Caenorhabditis elegans: one gene and its partners. The protein of the gene in region 1 interacts with the protein of each later gene in a pairwise test. Each region holds a gene or a part of one and is shown on either strand. Other genes may lie near its edges. The genes, in order: casy-1, fem-2 and C17F4.7.

What was found.
Region 2: the proteins of casy-1 (region 1) and fem-2 interact in a two-hybrid assay, tested with the Caenorhabditis elegans proteins (one large-scale study listed by BioGRID).
Region 3: the proteins of casy-1 (region 1) and C17F4.7 interact in a two-hybrid assay, tested with the Caenorhabditis elegans proteins (one large-scale study listed by BioGRID).

The regions. Positions count from the first base shown.
Region 1 is NC_003280.10:5,952,556-5,959,456, reverse strand, and holds the start of casy-1 (Secreted calsyntenin-1), read left to right. Parts: upstream 1-2,773; 5' UTR 2,774-2,812; coding exon 2,813-2,888; intron 2,889-2,941; coding exon 2,942-3,046; intron 3,047-3,732; coding exon 3,733-3,836; intron 3,837-4,060; coding exon 4,061-4,952; intron 4,953-4,997; coding exon 4,998-5,792; intron 5,793-5,842; coding exon 5,843-5,991; intron 5,992-6,047; coding exon 6,048-6,209; intron 6,210-6,901. UniProt on the Caenorhabditis elegans protein: Cell adhesion molecule involved in associative learning and memory.
Region 2 is NC_003281.10:630,654-637,858, reverse strand, and holds fem-2 (Protein phosphatase fem-2), read left to right. Parts: upstream 1-3,232; 5' UTR 3,233-3,286; coding exon 3,287-3,325; intron 3,326-3,379; coding exon 3,380-3,719; intron 3,720-4,130; coding exon 4,131-4,327; intron 4,328-4,377; coding exon 4,378-4,987; intron 4,988-5,286; coding exon 5,287-5,450; 3' UTR 5,451-5,840; downstream 5,841-7,205. Other genes in the region: sbds-1 (Ribosome maturation protein SBDS), read left to right, coding at 89-160, 721-1,146; eakr-4 (EAK-4 Related), read left to right, coding at 1,692-1,817, 2,166-2,264, 2,319-2,378, 2,439-2,561, 2,619-2,966; T19C3.6 (uncharacterized protein), read left to right, coding at 6,872-7,000. UniProt on the Caenorhabditis elegans protein: Dephosphorylates auto-phosphorylated Ca(2+)/calmodulin-dependent protein kinase unc-43/CAMKII in vitro. Involved in the regulation of sex determination.
Region 3 is NC_003280.10:3,243,200-3,248,647, reverse strand, and holds C17F4.7 (MD-2-related lipid-recognition domain-containing protein), read left to right. Parts: upstream 1-2,632; 5' UTR 2,633-2,662; coding exon 2,663-3,124; intron 3,125-3,380; coding exon 3,381-3,479; 3' UTR 3,480-3,561; downstream 3,562-5,448. Other genes in the region: fbxc-50 (F-box domain-containing protein), read left to right, coding at 530-615, 697-1,440, 2,059-2,275; C17F4.12 (uncharacterized protein), read left to right, coding at 4,493-4,565, 4,623-4,783, 4,832-4,957.

The DNA of each region.
Region 1 (6,901 bases):
TTATTATCCCCCAAATTCCGGTCTCGACTTCCGGAAACATTTTGAATTTATTTTGTAAATCACTTGATTATCAATATCTTTACCTCACATTCTCATTTTTCAACAGAATTTTTTAAAAACCTATATTTTTCTCCAGAACTCCTCGCCACTTCGTTTTGCATCAATACCCTCTTGATGCTTCTCAAAAACCAGTCGGATCATTGTCATCTGTTTTTGACACTTCGCACTTTTTCTATTCCAATGGCTATTAATTTTCTACCCACACACCCACCACAACCATAATCCGATAATCGAATTACTAAAAAACTGCTCGTAAAAACTAACGAGAGCACGGCGCTCCCGTGTCTTCTGGCCATCGTCCGTTAAACGGATACATTTATGACTTCCTTCGCTTTCGTCTTTTTCTTCGTTTTTTTTTCTTTTTTCTTGAAATCTTATCCATTCTGGCCAAATTCTTCAAATACATATAAACCTCTTTTTCCACATGATCAGGTAATACACTGGAACCGTGTTTTGGCTATTGGCTGTGTCAGATGATGAATTATGAATAAGGAATTATATTTATTGTGTGCCCCTCTCTTTCCATAGCCTTCCCAGTATTCTCTTGTTCCTCCCAAAATATCGGATGTCAACCTGTTTTCGTTTTCGAATTCGAGGAACTGTTTAATATTACTACCGGATATGTATTTGCGAACAATGCAAAAATCCCAAAAGTTCATTCCATGATAACAACAATTTACAAAAAAAAGTCTGAAGCAGCTGTAAATTGAAAATATTGAAGATTGATCTATTTTCGGATACTTTAAATAATGTAGTAAGAATGAATTAAATTATCTTAGAAACTCCTTTTTCGTATACCGTACTTCCTCTGAATCGACTAAAAATATAACTTTTGTTTAAACCTAATAGCAGGAATGCGAATTTCATAGAATTTTTGGGTTCTTTCCAAGAATGTCTTGCTAAAAAAAACCAAAAATCCACATACAAGTTTATTGGATATTTTCAAAATTTCTTATTTTTTAATCCAAGAATTCATGTTTTTTGTTGCTTGGTAAAATAAATGTATCGCATATCCATACGAACTAGTGCTGATCATCTTTGTTGTTAAATTCTAACTTGTTACACCAATTTCTTTACACCAATTCTGGGACTGTTTCAATCAATCAATATTCCATTTGACATGATTGACCTCGTTGACTCATAATCATGATCATCATCCTTTTATCTTGTAAGCATTTGACTTATTCGTCGTACTCCGTCCCCTTCGCGGCGGCGTCCTTCCTCTTCCGTTTGCCTCGTCTTTCGAATGCTCCACCTCTATTGACACATGCATGCTTGTCTTCACAACTCTCAACTTCTTCTTCTTCTTGTTCCCCTTCTTGCCTCCCTTTTTCAACCCTTGATTTTTGCATGTTCGGTTCTTCCCTTTTTCTACCTAATTTTCAATTCAAACCACACATGTTATGCTTGAAGAAAGAAGAATAAGAAGAACTTCTGTCTCTTCGCATTCTTTTGCTTATTCTCAGATTTCTTTTGGCGTTTTTTTTCTTCGTGCCTCACTTCACTCTGCCGACTGAGCTCCCCACATGAAACCATGACAACCAGCTCAATGTTTTCTCTGGTTTCTCATTTTCTTAACTTCCCCCAGCACTCAATATTTCATTTTCTGATAATCGGATGTGAAGAGGAGATTAGATGGTATGAGTAGGAGGAGCAGATGCTGACTCTCGTGCTCTACTTTCTCAGCTTCAACAAGGCTCACATTCCGTTCCAGCCACTTTTTCTCGTTTCTAGAATCTTTTTCTAGAATTCAATCATATTTTCATTGAAAAAACAGCTATTTATCTACGTCAGATTTTGTTCGTTTGCCTTTCTTCCTCCTTTTCTTTTTTATTCTACTTTTTCCAGTTTCTTAGATTTCAACCCTCGTTTTGTTTCAAACTCCAAATCCCAAAACATTTTAAAACTAAATCCTGGATCTTTGAAGTTTTAAATCAAAATAATGATGCCTCTTCAACGAATTCTCATATTCAATATTGCCATTTATTTATAGTCGGTGTTGAGTAGACGCACGAATAAGAATGAGAAGACCCGCTGCTCAAGAAAAAGCTCAAGAAAGCAGCCGAAAACAAACCTTTCCTTGACACCTAATTGAAAAATTCCCCGCATTTTCTTTTTTCTCGCTCGTGCCATCCACCATTTCATTTCGAAATGTTAGTGCTCCTGACGGCTTACCGGAAAACTATGGCGTGACCAGTGCCAGGAGCTGCAGAGCTGAAACGATTTTCACAAAAAAGAAAAAAGTCGGAAAAATGACGTGTGAGGGTGGAAAATGATTGAGGCATGAAGTAGTGGTGGACAGGGAGAGAGATAGAAAAAATGTGGTTCCGTCTTTTGAACACATTGTTTTGTATATCATCACAATTTCTTTCAATAAAAAATCTAAATCTAAATCAAAAAAATATTTTTTTAATCCAGAGAAATACGAAATCCGTAGAATTTTGATCGGTGGGTTAATCTCCACTCAATTATCTTATTGAAAATTCCGGTATTTAAAATCTACAGATACCCAAAAGCCTAGAGTTTTATCATTCCACTAAGACTGTTAGTCTGTTTTTTTCCAAACACATCCACATTTACTTCCTCCATTCACTCAACACATTTTCTCATTTTTCTGCCCTTTTTGTTATTTCCTTATTCCTTCAATTATTTTCTTCTCACCTTCTCTGCTCGCAGACCTCTACTCACGCACACAAAACCAATCATTTTTCAGACGCAAATTCCAACCAGGCTCTCTTACTCAAACCCACATATGCGAACTGCGTACTTTATTTTTGTCGGCGCCCTTCTAGGCGTCTCCTACGCCAAACATCACCATGCTGCTCGAGGTAACACTTACAGATTATTGGCCGTTAGTTCTTAAATTCCAATCTATTTTCAGCGCCAATAATCAATCTGCAAGGAGCCGAAGAGCTTGTGGCTGTCGTGCGAGAAGATGAGAACATTATCTCGACCGTGCCGGATTTTGCAATCCTCTCTGAAACCGGTGAGTTGGGAGATTAAAATAAATTGTTTTCAGCTCTTACGATTAAAAATCATGATTCATATAGATATGTTTATAATCAAGCCGGCTTGTTAGATCACAAGAAACTTTAATTAAATTTTATAGTTTTCCTTTTTCCTAATTGAAGGTGTGAAAACTAACAAACCTAATTAGAGAAATACAAAAATTCAGCTACTTCCTTTAAATAATCATGCTCATTAGTATTCATGGCATTTACATTCTCAATCTTCTTCTTTTCCCTCGTGTTTCCTTCCTGACATGCCCACCTCATTTGCACAAAAATCTCATCGAAAAAGCAATGCAGCCTCTCATTAATTGTTTCGTTTTCTTTTTTCATGTTTCTTCTTCTTTTCACGCATTTTCTCTGTTTTCTCTTTGATGATGAAGCATCGTTGTCGTTGTCAGCCTGGCTCCATACACACACACACAGGATTACGAGCCACCGACGACGACGACGACGATGTAGAACACGAAGGGATTGACGTGGAAAAGAAAGAGAAAAGAAGAGGGATTAACTATGACATGACATGACAGCCGATGATTCGAGAGAGCATGAATTGAAAAAGACGGGTGATGGAATGAAAGACAAGCTAGAAAAATTGGAATATCTATCCACAATTTGAAATTGAAACAAAAATAAAGCGAATACAATTTGAGGGAATTTTCAGGGCCAGTATGCAACTACCTCCTTACATCACAGAACAATGAGCCAGTGCCATTCGACATCCAGGTTGTTGATAAGTACACTGGAGCAGCTGTACTTCGAGTTAAGGTGAGACATGATGTCATAATGTATTTTTGGAGAATAGGCATCTAATGAAAATTCCAGTATTCATATTTTAATTCGTGTGTATCAGATAATTAGTGGAAAACCGTTTTGTAAGCTTAAAAATCAATGTGTTCTTAGAAGGAATTTTCATTAAACTTTATTCAATATTTCTAAAGAAAATTAATTCTTGATGAGTCACCATTAAAGTTCAAACATTTATTATTCAGGATGCTGCCACACTAGACTGCAAGAAGCCAGAATACAATCTTCAAGTTCAAGCTGTGAAATGCGATAACGACAATGTGAAGAGTGAAGGAGTGTCTCTGAAGATCCGTGTCAAGGACACCAACAATCATGCTCCAGAAATCGAAAACCCTTGGTACACATTCCACGTGGAAGAGGGAAAAGTTGTTGAGGAAGTTGGAGTACTGAAGGCATCTGACAAAGACTGTGGACATCCAAACGGAGAAATCTGTGAATATGAGATCACAAATGGACTTAAGGAACTTCCGTTCGCCATTAACAATCATGGAGTCCTTCGTACAACTCAGCCACTCAACTTTACTCAATCAAAATCATACATTCTCACTGTAGTCGCTATTGACTGCGCAATGAGGAAAAGCAAAAGTTCTCTGGTCACTGTTCACGTTGATGAGAAATGTGTTCAAGGAATCACTGCAATGAATGAGCGTGTCAACTATGCTCCAGGAGTTGGATCAAAGCTTCTCCTCCCAGACGTATCTCTTGAATTCTGTGAAAAGGAAACAATTTGTGAACCAAAGAGTGTGCAGTCAGTCATTGAACTTCGTGCTGGACACGTTACTCAAGGTTGTGCAAGAGACACTGTCTATGATAATCAGACAATTCAATCTTGTGGACTTTCAACTGCTACTGTCAAATTGCTGAACGAAGAAGCCCTTACCAGCTCGGCTGAGAATCAGATTCTTGCTGATCAAGGAATTGAGTTTGATGGAGCCAGAGGAGTGACTGTCTCTGATGAAAATCATCAAGGACTCATTCCGGATCACTTCACATTGAGCTTCTCCATGAAACATGCTGCAGGAACTAAGGACGAGCAAAGTAACAAGCAGAACATTCTTTGCGAAAGTGATGATTTCAGTGAGTTATCTCTTTTAGAAACAACCAGTGAATATGTGTTTTCAGACATGAACCGTCATCACTTCTCTGTCTACATTCGTCACTGCAAATTGGAGGTTGTTCTCCGCCGTGAAGCTGGAGCCACTTCAGACTTCCGTGCTGCTGAATGGCGTTGGTCAATGCCAGAAGTATGCGATAATGAGTGGCATTCATATTCACTTCTCTTCAATGGCATCGATGATGTTAATGTTATCGTCGATGGAAAGAGCTTTAAGGCTGACGAACGAAATCCTGAAATCCTCGACGATTGGCCGCTTCACAAGACCAAGGCAACAAAGACCAAACTTGTTGTAGGAGCGTGCTGGCACGGACGGCAACAGAAACTTGCACAGTTCTTCCGTGGACAACTTTCCTCTCTTTATCTTCTCTCTGGAGCTGTTGAAAGTGAACGTGCAATAAAATGCGCTCATACTTGCCCAGAACAACTTCAGTTCACCGGAGTTGATGAGCTTCTTGAAAGCCAAAGTGCAACATTCTCTCCAGATCAAACCTCTCTTACATTGAAGGCTGAAACATCAAAGCAAATTGGTCAAATGCTCAAGAGAGTTGCCTATGTTAACACTCAAGAGAAACCAGCTCCAGGACACCGTGTTTTCCTTGTTGAGACTGAGGTTACTTGCAAACAAGATGACAAGAAGATGAAGCTACCATCCAGCAAAGGATACGTTTTTGTTCAACAAGCCGCTGAACCAACTCTTTCAATCTCTGCTTCGTCTCAACTCAAAAGTAATCAACACATGGTTAAGGTTGGACAAGCTATGGTTCCAGATCTCACCATAACCATCAGCCAAAACAATGCTGGTAAGTTTTAAATGCAAATAATAAGAAACATTTCGGAATTTCATTTTCAGACGGAGAACTCGAAGATGTCACCCAATCCCACAAGATTGATTACTGTAAGATGCATTTGCAACCAGCACGTGATATGGATGTAGAGTACTTCTCATCACCGGCTTCACTCATTGCAGCTCTTAACATTGAGTTTGAGCATGACAAAGACGTAAGTCCCAGACAGATTCAAATCTGATTTCAATCTTCTAATTTCCTGCTCTTCAGGGCATCCTTCTTCGCGGAGAGGAAAGCGCTCAAGGGTACAAGGAAGTGCTCTCGAAGGTTCATTATTTCAACACTCGACCAGAATCATACGCCAAACGTGTCTACACCGTCCAGTGTGCCATGCTCAAGGGCCGAGTACTCAGCAATCAGTTGTTTGTCACGGTTAGTTTTTATGGATCTTCAAGTTTTTTCTATCTCACATTATGTCTTACGGCGTTGAAAGTTTGGAGCTCAACTATTCTAAGTCTATCAATTTCTAGTTTCATTGCTCAAGATCCTATAAAAACTTAAGGGCTCAAGAAACCGAGAATCTCTTCTCACATTCCACTGTAATTACTCATTCATTCATTCTCAGAAGAAATCTTTTTCACATTATGTACAAAATCCATTTATGTCCTTGCTCTTCTCAGCAGCATATAATGATTTGAGAGAGCGCCCCGTCTGTTTTCATCGCCTCAAAATGGGTTTTAGAGTGAGATGGATAGAAGGAAAATTTGTGTCTTCCATTTAGAAATTGCCATCATTTGTGCAATACGCACTTGGATCGTCCTTTTTTCATGTCTATAGTTTAGAATATTTGTTGATATCTAAATAGTTGTTTCCGAGTTCCTTTTGTATTCTGATTCTTAAAAACGGAGTAGCGTGATTGAGAATATTGCTTTAAATTGACAAAATAAACTCTAAATTCAGAAATTTGACATTAAAAAAATAATTAATCTCCATGTTTGAGTTAAATCCAAAATGAAAACTGCAACACCAATCAGCGATTCGCTCCGCAATTTTTTTTTCAAGAACTTCAGACTATTTTATAGCTACTCCACCTTTAAGTTCTTGGCACTATGACATAATCCTCC
Region 2 (7,205 bases), on another chromosome or scaffold:
TTGGTGTAATTAGTGTTATTTGTCATCTAAAAAGTTGAATAAATTTATTCAAAATAGGTAGAAAAAGACAATATTTCCTAAATTTCAGATTCTCGACAAAGGAGACTTGCAAGTGTCGGAAAAAGAGCGTCAGGCGGCTTCAGATCAATCGCTGAAAGAGGTACAACTTGCCACGTAGCAAAAAATGAAAAAATTTTAGATTCCAGGCTAAAAACCTGTTTTTTTCTTTAAATTTTTAAAAAATTAGGTAGTTTTTTTCTCCTGAAAAATGTAAATTTTCCTCCAAAAAAAATCCTGAAAAATCTCAATTTTTCTTCAAAAAAAATCCTGAAAAATCTCAATTTTCGTCAAAAAAATTCCTGAAAAATGTAATTTTTCATCCAAAAAATTCCTGAAAAATCTCAATTTTCCTTCAAAAAAAATTCCTGATAAATCTTAATTTTCCTCCAAAAAAAAAATCCTTTAAAAATCTCAATTTTTATATAAAAAAATTCTTGAAAAATGTGAATTTTCATCCAAAAAAATTCCTGAAAAATCTCAATTTTCCTCTAAAAAATTCCTAAAAAATTCCTAAAAAATTTCAATTTTCCTCCAAAAAAATTCCTGAAAAATCCCAATTTTTTCTAAAAATTCCTAAAAAATCTTAATTTTCTCCCAAACAAGTTCCTGAAAATTTTTAATTTTTCTTCAAAAAAATCCTGAAAAATCTCAATTTTCCAGGTATCCCAGCTGATTGCCTCAATGGTCGTAAATCCTGAAACGAAGCGTCCAGTTCCACCGTCAGTAATCGATAAAGCTCTACAAGAAATGCACTTTTCCCTGAAACCGAATCGTTCCTCAAAGCAGCAGGCTCTCGACGCAATTCCAAAACTTCGTGAAACTCTGAAAATCGAACGAGCCAAGATGAAGATCCGTGTGGCGATTCCGACAAAAGAAGCGAAATCCGTGCACACGAAGCTTAAAACCCTATTCAGTGACGTGGAAGTTGACGATTGGCAGGATGGAAGCCTCGAGATGGTTGGGCTCATTGAGCCCGGATCGTTCAGAGCTTTGGACGATTTGGTCCGAAATGAGACGAAGGGACACGGAAGATTGGAGATTCTCAGCTTGAAGGATGTCGTCGAAGGAGAATTGCAGATTTCTTAAATTTCATGTTAAAAATTTTATTTTTTTGTTGCTTTTTTGCTCTTTTGCACTCAAAATGTGCAGACATTTTTGAGTGTTTTTCTTTTTTTCCCCTCCACACACCCGAGAATTCTTTTTGGATCTCAAATTGTTATCATCAACGTTCCCATGTTTTTTCCCAGTTACCAAAAACTTTTTGTGTCAGGTTTTCAGAAATCATTATTGCTTTTAAATGAAAAGTGTTAATCTTACAAATTTTTGAGAAAAACAATTTGGAAAAAAACCCCAGGAACATGATTTGAAGGCTAGAAAACTAATTCTCTAAGTTTCCCCGGCTCGAAAAAAATTCGTTCAATATTTATTTTCCATCACTTTGCATAATTTACAGTACTCACCAGGCCAGCGAAATTCATGAAATTGTACAATTTTCTTGTTGTTTTTCCAACAAAATTTAAAAATAACCCGGACTAGTCGAAAACAAGGCAGTCGTGGGGTACTGTAAATTAGGCGGCCTACCAAGTTGAGCCTTCGCCAAGTAATCCTCTATTTCCCTGTCACAACCGATAATGGGGCAATGTCTTGGAACCCTGTGCACTGTAGATTCAGCTACAGATAATATTTCCAGCGTCTATCAGCTGGCAGGCCCAGTTGCGGTGAAAGAGAGCCCACGTATTGCTGAACGGGACCCAAAGGTAATATTTTTCGTTTTTTTTTCAGAGTCTTATGTTTTCAATCTTTTTTGCTGAGAAACCTTCGAAAAAAAAAACAAATCTAAGCTTAAGTCTAAACCTAAGCCTATGCCTGGAGACACAAGCCTAAGCCTACGCATAAGCCTAGGCCTAAACCTAAGCCTACACCTAAGCTTAAGCCTAAAGGTTAGCCTAAGACTAAGCTCACACCTAAGCCTAAGACTCAGCCAAAGCCTAAGACTCAGCCTAGGCCTCAGCCAAAGCCTACGCCTAAGTCTATGCCAATTTCTAAGTCTATGCCTTTGACAATACCTAAACGTATGCCTATACCTAAGCTCAAGAAATTTTCAGGTCAAAATCTCTGTGAATCCCGAGGAGGAAAATGTTGAACGCCCCTGTGTACTTTACTCGAAAAGTAACGAGATTATCAAAAAACCGGATATTTTTGAGGTGAGAATATTCTTAATCACGGGCACGGATTTTCTCAAATTTATAAATTTTTAGGAAATCTACAAGCGCACACCGATCACCCTCTCGAATAACGGTAGAATTGACGTTGCCGAGGTTTTTTAAACATATTTTTTTCAAAATTACATTTATCAAGAACTGAATTAATGAATTCAGCTTCCCGCCGGACAACGAGTCATTGAAGTAGAGAACAACGAGGTTCGCGACAAGTATAAAAAAACGTTGTACGAGATTCGGAGAAAATGCAGGGAACTTCAGAATTTGGGTGCTGAGGATGAGGTAGGCGGCCTTCAATGGCGTTTGAGTTAACTCAAGAAAAATCTGCGATTTTTCCAGGAAACCGGTGAAATCATCGATACTCTTCTTATTCTTTACAAGGACTTCTTCTTACTAACCACGTGGAAAATCGATAAGTACGCCCAGTTGAGAAAAAATGCCGCAGTTCAAGCTTACAACTCGCTACCCAAGCTTAGAGCCGACCCCGCTGAATTCCGATGCCACGTGGAGTTTCAGTATCGCGTGGCAAATGAGCTATGGGAGCATTTCAAGGAGACATATATCCACAAATATGAAGCATGTAATTGGGCGGAGAGGGCGAAAGTGAAGGAATGGGATCTTTTGGACAGCCAAGTACAGACGCCGAATGTGGAGTGGGATTATCTTGGCGCGCATGGATATATATGAATAATTGATTTTTATTTTAAATTTTTGATCCATTTTTGATTTGATAAAAATGTTATTAATACAATACAATGCGAATTAAATTAATATTTCGCGCGAGAAACGCGCCAACGCACCGAAAGTGCGCAAACGAGAAGCTTTGCGCGTTTCTGGTGCAGAAAATTCTGCATTATTTTTTTGTTGATTTTTCCTCATTTTGTGTTGAAATCCATTGTTTTTTCTCGGTTTTTCTCTGATTTTTATGTTAAAAACAATTATTGAAATGTCAGATCAACCCAGCTGTCCCACCGAAGCCGGTAGTGGTTTTAAAACTGGAAAAATACATGGAAAAAGTAAACGAGGAGCGGGATGCGGTTTTCGAGGTAGAAAACGGGATTTTATATATTTAATGCTAGTTAGAAAAATGTATATTCCAGGATCACATCGGCGATCGCCGTCGAAGTGTCCGGTCACTTCTGGAGGAGGCATTTGCAGATGAAATGGAGAAAACTAGCTATGACGTCGAGGTTGCCGACACTCCACAACCGCATATTCCAATACGTTTCCGTCATCCACCAATCGCCGGACCAGTTCATGATGTTTTCGGAGACGCGATTCACGACATTTTCCAGAAAATGATGAAAAGAGGCCAGGCGGTCGACTTTTGTCACTGGGTGTCTCACTTGATCGCCACAGAAATTGACGAGAAATTCAGTGAAGTTGCGTTCAGAGATGTTCAGTATAATCCTGATATTTATGTTACCGATAGTACCACAGGTAATTATTAAATGTGCAAAATCTGCTATTAATTTAGCAGACCAAGCATGGGCCTGCTAAATATTCAGCAGGCCTATCCCCATTGGTCTGCTAAATATTTAGCATACCTAACTTGGGTCTGCTAAATATTTAGCAGACCCATCCCCATTGGTCTGCTAATTATTTAGCAGACCAACTATGGGTCTGCTAATTATTTAGCAGACCACCTATGGGTCTGCTAAATATTTAGCATACCTACCATGAGTCTGCTAAATATTTAGCAGACCTATCCTCATTGGTCTGCTAAATATTTTTAGCTGGCCATTCCCCATTGATCTGCTAATTTTTGCAAAAATAAAACTTGTTAAATAGAATTTTTAAAAAATCTTCAAAAACTCAACACTTCTGTTCATCAATACAACTTATTTTCAGAAGCCAAAAAGCTATTCAACGACAAAATTTGGCCGGCGATCGACAAGATTCTCCAGCAAAACGCCGAAACGTGCCCGATTCTGTCTGAAAAGTGGTCTGGAATCCACGTGTCGGGCGATCAACTGAAAGGGCAACGTCACAAGCAAGAAGATCGGTTTTTGGCGTATCCTAATGGGCAATATATGGATCGTGGAGAGGTTTAGGAGGATTTTAGGCCTGGAAAATTACTGAAAAATGAAATTTTTAGGATCCAATTTCGGTGTTAGCGGTGTTCGATGGTCACGGTGGTCACGAGTGCTCTCAGTACGCAGCCGGGCACCTTTGGGAGACATGGTTGGAGGTTCGAAAATCGCGAGATCCTTCAGATAGCCTCGAAGATCAGCTTCGCAAGTCGCTGGAGCTTCTCGACGAACGAATGACTGTCAGAAGTGTGAAAGAGTGTTGGAAGGGTGGAAGTACAGCTGTCTGCTGTGCAATCGACATGGATCAGAAGCTTATGGCGCTGGCGTGGCTCGGTGACTCACCCGGATACGTCATGTCGAACATTGAATTCCGTCAGTTGACACGTGGACACTCGCCATCCGATGAACGGGAAGCTCGGCGTGTTGAGGAAGCTGGCGGCCAGCTTTTTGTGATTGGAGGCGAATTGCGGGTGAACGGAGTTCTAAATCTCACCCGAGCACTCGGAGATGTTCCTGGACGGCCGATGATCTCTAATGAACCGGAAACGTGTCAGGTGCCTATTGAAAGCTCGGATTATCTGGTGCTCCTGGCTTGTGATGGAATTTCTGATGTTTTCAACGAGCGTGACCTGTACCAGTTGGTGGAGGCATTTGCGAATGATTATCCTGTTGAAGGTTAATAAAAATTCTTGGAGAAAAACTAAATTTCCAAAGCCAAAAACTATTTTTTCGTTTTTTTTTTCTGAAAAAAAATCAGAAGATTGGCTATTTTTCGGGGGTTTTCAAAAAAAAAAGTAAAGATTTTCGAATTATTGTATTTTTAAAAAAGAAAATCGGGTAATTTACTAAAATTTGAAAAAATCAATTTTTAAAAAAACCATTCAAAATTATTTTTAAGGTAAAAAACATTAGCCGACGTTACTTTATTTTTTAATGTAGAAAATTCTTTAAAAATCGAAAAAAAATTTTTTCAGACTACGCGGAGCTCTCCCGTTTCATCTGTACAAAAGCGATTGAGGCTGGAAGTGCCGACAACGTGTCTGTTGTGATTGGCTTTTTGCGTCCACCGCAGGATGTGTGGAAGCTTATGAAACATGAATCAGACGATGAAGATTCCGATGTCACTGATGAGGAATAACTGCTTTTCGGTGGAAATTTTGCCTGAAAATTGGGAAAATTCTTGCTAAACTTCGGTTGATTTTCTCAAATTTTTGTCGTTTTTTTTCCTAATTTTCGGTCGATTTTATCAAATTTTCCCCTGTTTTCCTGTGTCTATTTGTTTTTTGGGTATTCCAATTTTCTCTCTCCTATTCACCATATCGTCGTCATTTCTCCCCGTTATCTAGCAGCTTTCCGTGACCCACACACATATTTTGTTCTCGGTGTTCCTGTAGCATTTCACATTTACATACGTTTCCAACCAGTTGGCATCCCACCAAAAATCCGAGTACTTTCCTTCTCCTCCTCCACTTGAACATATATTTGATTTGAATTTATTTTATGATATAAATTGTATAATGACGTGGAATTACTGGGATATTGAGTAGCTGAATAGGTTTTTGAGACACTTTTTGAACACTGAATTTTCATAAATGACTGTAAACTTTTCAACTCGTGAAAAATGTAAAAAATCGGAGTATACCAGTCATTTTCAGTAGAAAATCTCCTTTTCAATTGAAAATCCGGGATTTTTCGAAAGAAAAGCTCGAAAACACCGCGAAAAAATGATTAAAAAAGTCATATTTTCAAGAGGGAATTTCAAATTTCCCGCTTACAGCAAATGCGCTCTATTAACAAAGAAAGCAGAATTTAGCTGAAACACGGCCCGGCAAAGGGTACATCAGTGTAAACGCGCTCTACTGATAATTGCAGTTTAGCCAGGTTTGGGCGCGTTTTAAGGAAAAAAGATTTGGTCCAAAAAATTTTGAATTTAATTTTTTTTTATGGTGGAATTTTACAAAATTTGATTTTTTTTAAATTTTCGATACGAAATTCTAATTTAGCGTCATTGGTGATTTTACAAATTTTCAGCATTTTGTCGTCAAATTTGGTGTTGCCACAGTACTTACATACTTTTGGAGCTACAGTAACCCAATGTTCACCGACATGTGGCGCCAGACTGTCCCATCGCTCTACTGCGCCAGAAAAGCGTGAAAATATTTTTTGAAATTTTGTGACGTCACAGAGCATTTCGAATAATTGTTTTTGCAGTTTAAGCCTCGATTTTCGCCGTTTTTTGCGTCGAATAACTTTAATTTATAAAAATGATATATTAAAATGAACTTACTATTAGGAAGATATACATATAACCCTTTAAAAATCTGAATTATTATTAAATTGTTCCCTTTTTTTTCTATTCATCACAATTTCTAGTCATGTAGACAATAACAATTAGAAGATGCACAAAAACGGCATATTTATAATTTTTCACCCAATTTTGTACAGTATCCAAATTCATATACGACACCCCCTGCCAAATTCTGAGAAAAACAATTAGAGGCGCATATAAAATTTGGTCGACTTCACTTTTTTTTTCTCATTTTCACTCGATTTTCTGCGATGGGATTGGTTACAAGTATTCTGGGACGGCGAGAGTATCGTTTGCTCCAAAATTCGGTTACCAAGAAGCATTTGTGCAAATTTATGGGTGTAGAGTTCGACTACAATGACTTGGATGAGATTACCGAGGTGAGATGATTTTTTATGATTTTAATGCTATGCCTACACCAAGCCTACCACACATGGTGCCAGGCTGTCCCATTACGGTTTGATCTACAAAAAATGCGGGAATTTTTCGCCCAGAAAAATGTGACGTCAGCACGTTCCTGACCATGCGAAATCATTTTAGAACTCTGCGTCTCAACTCCCGCATTTTTGTAGATCTGCGTAGATC
Region 3 (5,448 bases), 2.7 Mb from region 1:
AAGAAGATAGGGTTATCAGTGCGATAAGTTTCTCGGAAAACTGGATTTTATTGGGTTTCTCGGCTTTTCCTTATCGATTATCACATGTAAAGGGGGTTAAAAAGAAATAGAAGTTCGGGAAAAGGTTCAGTATTTACAAAAAACTACAAAAGTCAGAATTGTTTAGGCTTAGTCTTAGTCTTAGGCTTAGGCTAAGACATAGGCCTAGGATTGCGAAATTCCTGGAAAAAATTTTAAAAAATCGATAATTTCCCAAGATAGAAGCTTTCAGATTATTCTGAAATACATAAAAATCTTTTTTTTTTTTCATTTTTTCTAACCCAAACCCCTAAAAATTTCTCCAATTTCCTCGGTAGATCAAAAAAAACCACACCGCCAATTTCATCGCTGCCGCCTGTATACACCGCGCGAACAGCTGCCGGCGAGAGAGCGCACTGAGTGAGGAGACGCAGAGAAACAGACAGATTTTGTCCATTTTCCGGCGGCGTTGTGCACAGGAAACAGTCATTCATATCTGTTATTCCTCCCAATGGAGACAGGTAATTTTTCAACGACCAGTGGATTTTCCGACGAGTGCTTGAAGTCGATTCTTCGGTTCATGGATGCGAATCAGCGGTCAGTTTCGTAGTTTTTTTTTAAATTTAATTTTAAAAATAAATAAAAAATATTTCGCAAATTCGAACCTTTATTTTCCAGATTCCACCTCTCCCAGCAATGCCCATCTCTGCGATCCTTTGAGAAGTCAGTGCCACTTTACGTCTATGAGCTCACCCTCCTACAGGACAAGCTTTTCGTGAACGCGGTGGAGTATCAACTCGGCGATGGGCAGCTTACCGTGCTCGACAAGCGGACCGGCCAGCAAATCCGTGAGCCCTCACGTCACTCCATGGAGGATCTCATTTCCCGACTGCTCAGTGGATACCAGGAGCCTCTGAGCATCGGGCTTCTTCTCATCCCCAATTCGGAAGTCTTAAAGTTCCCGGAGTCCCTGAAAGTGAAGGCTCTCTGCTTGACGATCCAATCCAACGTGGCTTCGGTGATGGGCTCGCTGAGCAAGATGCTTGATGAGAAGAGCTTCCCGCTTCGTAGGCTCTATGTGATTGGGCACAAGGATTTTGAGAAATTCGAGAACTTCAGTCACGATGCTTGCAAAAACGCAAAGAAGCTGGTGATCCTGGGACGTTCGGTGCCGGTTTCTTTCCTTTGCAGCCTTCCGAACAAGAGGATTCATTTGGAGAGCGCGGACGACTACACGGTCGACGATTTTATGCGGCTTATCGAGAAATGGGCCGATGGGACTACGGAGAATATCAAAACTGCCGGTAATTTCCACTACAAGTTCACGCTGTCAAATCCGGAGCTGGTGAAGCAAGTGTTCGCGTTGTCTGAGGTGCTTGGCGACGCCGGAAAGAAGGATCCGATCAAATTTTTTGGAAAAGTGTGAGTTTATCGGGTAGTTAGGTAGATTTACGGTTTTTAGTGTGGGTTTACGGGAATAGGTGTAGATTTACGGAGGAATGTGAGGATATAGGTGGTCTGTGTAGATTCACGAAAAGTTGAGTAGATTTACGAAAGCACATGTAGTTTTACGGGAGATTGTGTAGGTTTACGGAAGCTAGTGTAGATTTACAGGAGCCCGTGAAGATTTACGGGGGCTAGTGTAGATTTACGGGGGTTAGTGTGGATTTACGGGGACTGTGTAGATTTACGGATCTACACATAGATTTACGGAAGGAATGAGTGAACTTGCGGTAGGTGGCGTAGATAAACGGGAAGTAGATAGTGTAGATTTACGGAAGACTATGTGGATTTACAAGAGGAATGTGTGAACTTACGGTAGGTGTAGATTTACGGACGCCAGTGTAGATTTACGGAAGGACGTGTAGATTTACGGAAGCAAGTGTAGATTTACGAACCTACGTAAAGATTTACGGATCTTTGTGTAGACTTGCGGATTTTCATGTAGATTTACTTAAATTTCTGCCAAATTGTAAATGTTTTCTTGTAGATTTACGGCGCTTTTTACCTTGTCATTCATTAATTTATCTATTATTTCAGATGCGAAGAGTTCCCCAATGTGATTGTCTACACCGTGAGTGACACCATGGAAATCTACGCGTACTGTGAAAAGAAGAGCCCCGAGAAATGGTTGCTCACCATCACAATCGACCGAGTTGGCCTCAACAAGTTGTACTATATGATTGAAACATTGCTCGACGAGTTTATGGACAAAGTGGAGGGAGTTGGAAAGTCGAAGCATTTGTGTCGTTATTAAATTTTGTATAGAATTTTATTGTGTTTTATAATAGTAATTAAATAAATTGGAATATCTAGATTTTGATAATTTGCTGGAAGCTGGAAATTTCTCTGAAAATAGGCAGTCTACCGGACATCTCAGGTCTTACATAGGTAGTTTGTAATTGGAATCCGGAGATTGCAATTTAATTTTCAATTTCCGTTTTTCATATGGTTTCCAAACTTCAAAAACCAAGCAGCCAATTTTCCTTATCACTACTTCACTAACTGCACTTTTATGGCTCGTTCAGCGTCATCCACATATTAACTATGCGACACAAAATAGTTAAACTGATAAGGGTGGTGTGACTGGTTTCAGCATATAAAACCCCGCTCCAAACTAGGAAACCATTGCACTTTTCTGGCTATGTTATCAGTTCTGTTTCTCCTGCTCGTCGGAGCATTCACCATCGGAGCCAACCCGGTCAACTTTGCAGACTGCCCATTCCCAAATGGTACTGACAAGGCGATTCACTCCTACATGTGCTCCGACAATGAGCAATTTTCAATCACCGATATTCAGACTTTGGACTCTAATCAGAAGCCCTACTACCCGATTGACCCCCGCCATCCGTTTATTCTGAACCTTACCACTTACAATCATGGAGAACAAATTGATGATAATAAGGTGAAAGTGAAAATCAATCAGTACAAGTCAGGATGGACTGGTGGATGCTCTTGGAAGTCGATTCCCACTTTTGGATTGTTGGATGATATTGATGGCTGTGATTTTGCACACAATTGCCCGTTGGAGTCAGGACCGCTGTTTTTGATTTTGCCGTTGGATTTGAGCCAGTTTTCTGTCATCATTGAGCTTCTGGCTGCGCATGTAAGTTACAGTACCCCTACAGTACTCCTACAGTACCCAACCACAATAACTTTAAATGAATCCTTTGGTAATCTAGGAAAACAGTTATCCTACAGTACCCTTACATTATCTGAAAACATAACTCCTACAGTACAGCAGTATGTGCTAGAATTTGAGATGTTCCAGTTTCAAACTAGCGACGTCACAAACTACAAACTACATACACTCCATTGTGATCTCAAAATTTTCTTTAAATTCACTGTTTTCTCATTTTCAGAAGCCCTACGAACTGGAAATCCGCATGTTCAACCACAATCCAGGAAATACAAAGCACGAAGAGATTGCCTGTGTTATGGCACAACTTGAGCTCTCCTAATTTTTTTTTGTACATTTTGATATGCTCGATAATAAATACATATGCGCATGACAATTGAAAATATTACTAAAAAAGTAACTTGTTTCATTATTTTCAAAAATCAAACATTTTTATGGCAGGGTCATAAAAAGGATGTCGGTGATGGAGAACTGCTCATTATCGGAGCAGAGGTCATAAAAATGCGTATATTTAGTATTTGTGATTTTTTAGGAAATTTCAGAAAATTCCAAAAAAAAAACTACAGAATTTTTCAGAAATGTGTAAAGCATTTCAATTTTTTCTATAATTTTTGCAGTCTAGAAATTATTTAACATTAAAAAAAATTAATTTCTGAATTTTTCAACAAATTTTTAATTTGTAGTTTTCCTACACATCTCTTCCAAATTCCCAAAAGTTCAATCCGTGTCACTTTCCAATTTCCCTTTTATCTCAAGATTATCCTGTTCGCTATCACTTCTTCGAGGGGGGGGGGGGGGGGTCAAACTTCTAGTACACTTTTTAGATATTGAAAAAAAAACCAGAAAAACAAAAAACAACTTATTATAAAGTTAATATTACATGTGGGAAATTGCAATAATTTTTTTTTTCAAAAAAATATTAAAATTTGAAGAATTGGCGAGAAACCTAAATTTTTCAAATTTTTACAGGCATTTGTGTAGTTAACAGTTTTTTGCAGTAATTTTTTTTTAATTTTGGAAAACAGTTTTCGAGAAAAATTTTTAAACACAGGCGGATTTTTAGAGCTTTTAATTTTCACTATTTTTGAAAAACTTATATTTTTCCGAGTTTGGTCGAAAACTTAAATACTTTACTGGTTAATCATTGTTGTAAATTTACAATATCCTTTAAACATTTCAAAAACCCAGGTTCCCCCAACCCAACCTAACACTCTCTCCCTTCCCGACCTTTGTGTCATATGATCCCAAACCGGTTTAGCTTATCCTTGCAAAATGTAGGGGATAAAAGGAATGAAGACGTGATAAGATTGAAAAGTCTAGTTTGTGATTTGAACAATGCTTTATCAAAATTCTATTGTGATTTGCTACCTGATATTGAGCTGCACCCATATTTTTGTTAAAGCTAGAGGTAGGTTTATATCATCAAAAATTGATTCCGCCAAAATCTGAAATTTAAAATTTTCAGTATTCAACAACTTTCCAGCTCAATATGCAGAAAATAGTCAAATCCCAGAAATTTCAAATTTCCCTGAAGCCAATTCTATTCAAGAAAATCCCACGACTTATGGCACCCGGCCAACTCTGAAAATCCCGTTCCAAATGATAGTCACCCCTGATTCTAAATCAGTAAGTTAGTTTTTTTCAAAAATTTCCAACAAACAATTCAATTTCCAGCTGCAATTCTACAACCCAATGCTTGCCTACCGGGAGGCTACTCAATCCAATGAGCCACGTGTCATCGTGTATAACTCGGAGCTACGGGATTTGGAGAAATTCTACCAGCAGCCACTTTTTGATTGAATAAAATTTTGTTTGAAATGAACTCTAGTTTTTGAACCAAAGCTCTATGCCAACGTTGAGCCGAGTTAAAGCTATTTGGAGATTCGCTGAGTCGCTACTCAGTCAAACTCAGGACATACTCAAACTCAAACTCAGCTACTCAGGACATACTCCCCGCGAATGTTTACTGTAAACAATTTGCAGATGACCTCAAGCTTTATACCAAAATCTCCAAAAGCTCACTAACTAGTCCACTTCAGGAAGCTATAAACGTTATTGTTAACTGGTCTAAATCCTCAAAACTAGCCCTAAACAATACAAAAACCGTTTGTATAAGCTTAGGTAGTAATGCAAAGGACTTTGATTACAGAATCGAAGGAGATCCGATAAAAAGAAATAATGTAATCCGCGATTTAGGTTTCTTAATAAATAAAAAATTGACTTTCACTGAACATTGGGAAAAAGCAGTAAATCACGCAAAGTATTTAATATACGTAATCTTTAATCACTAC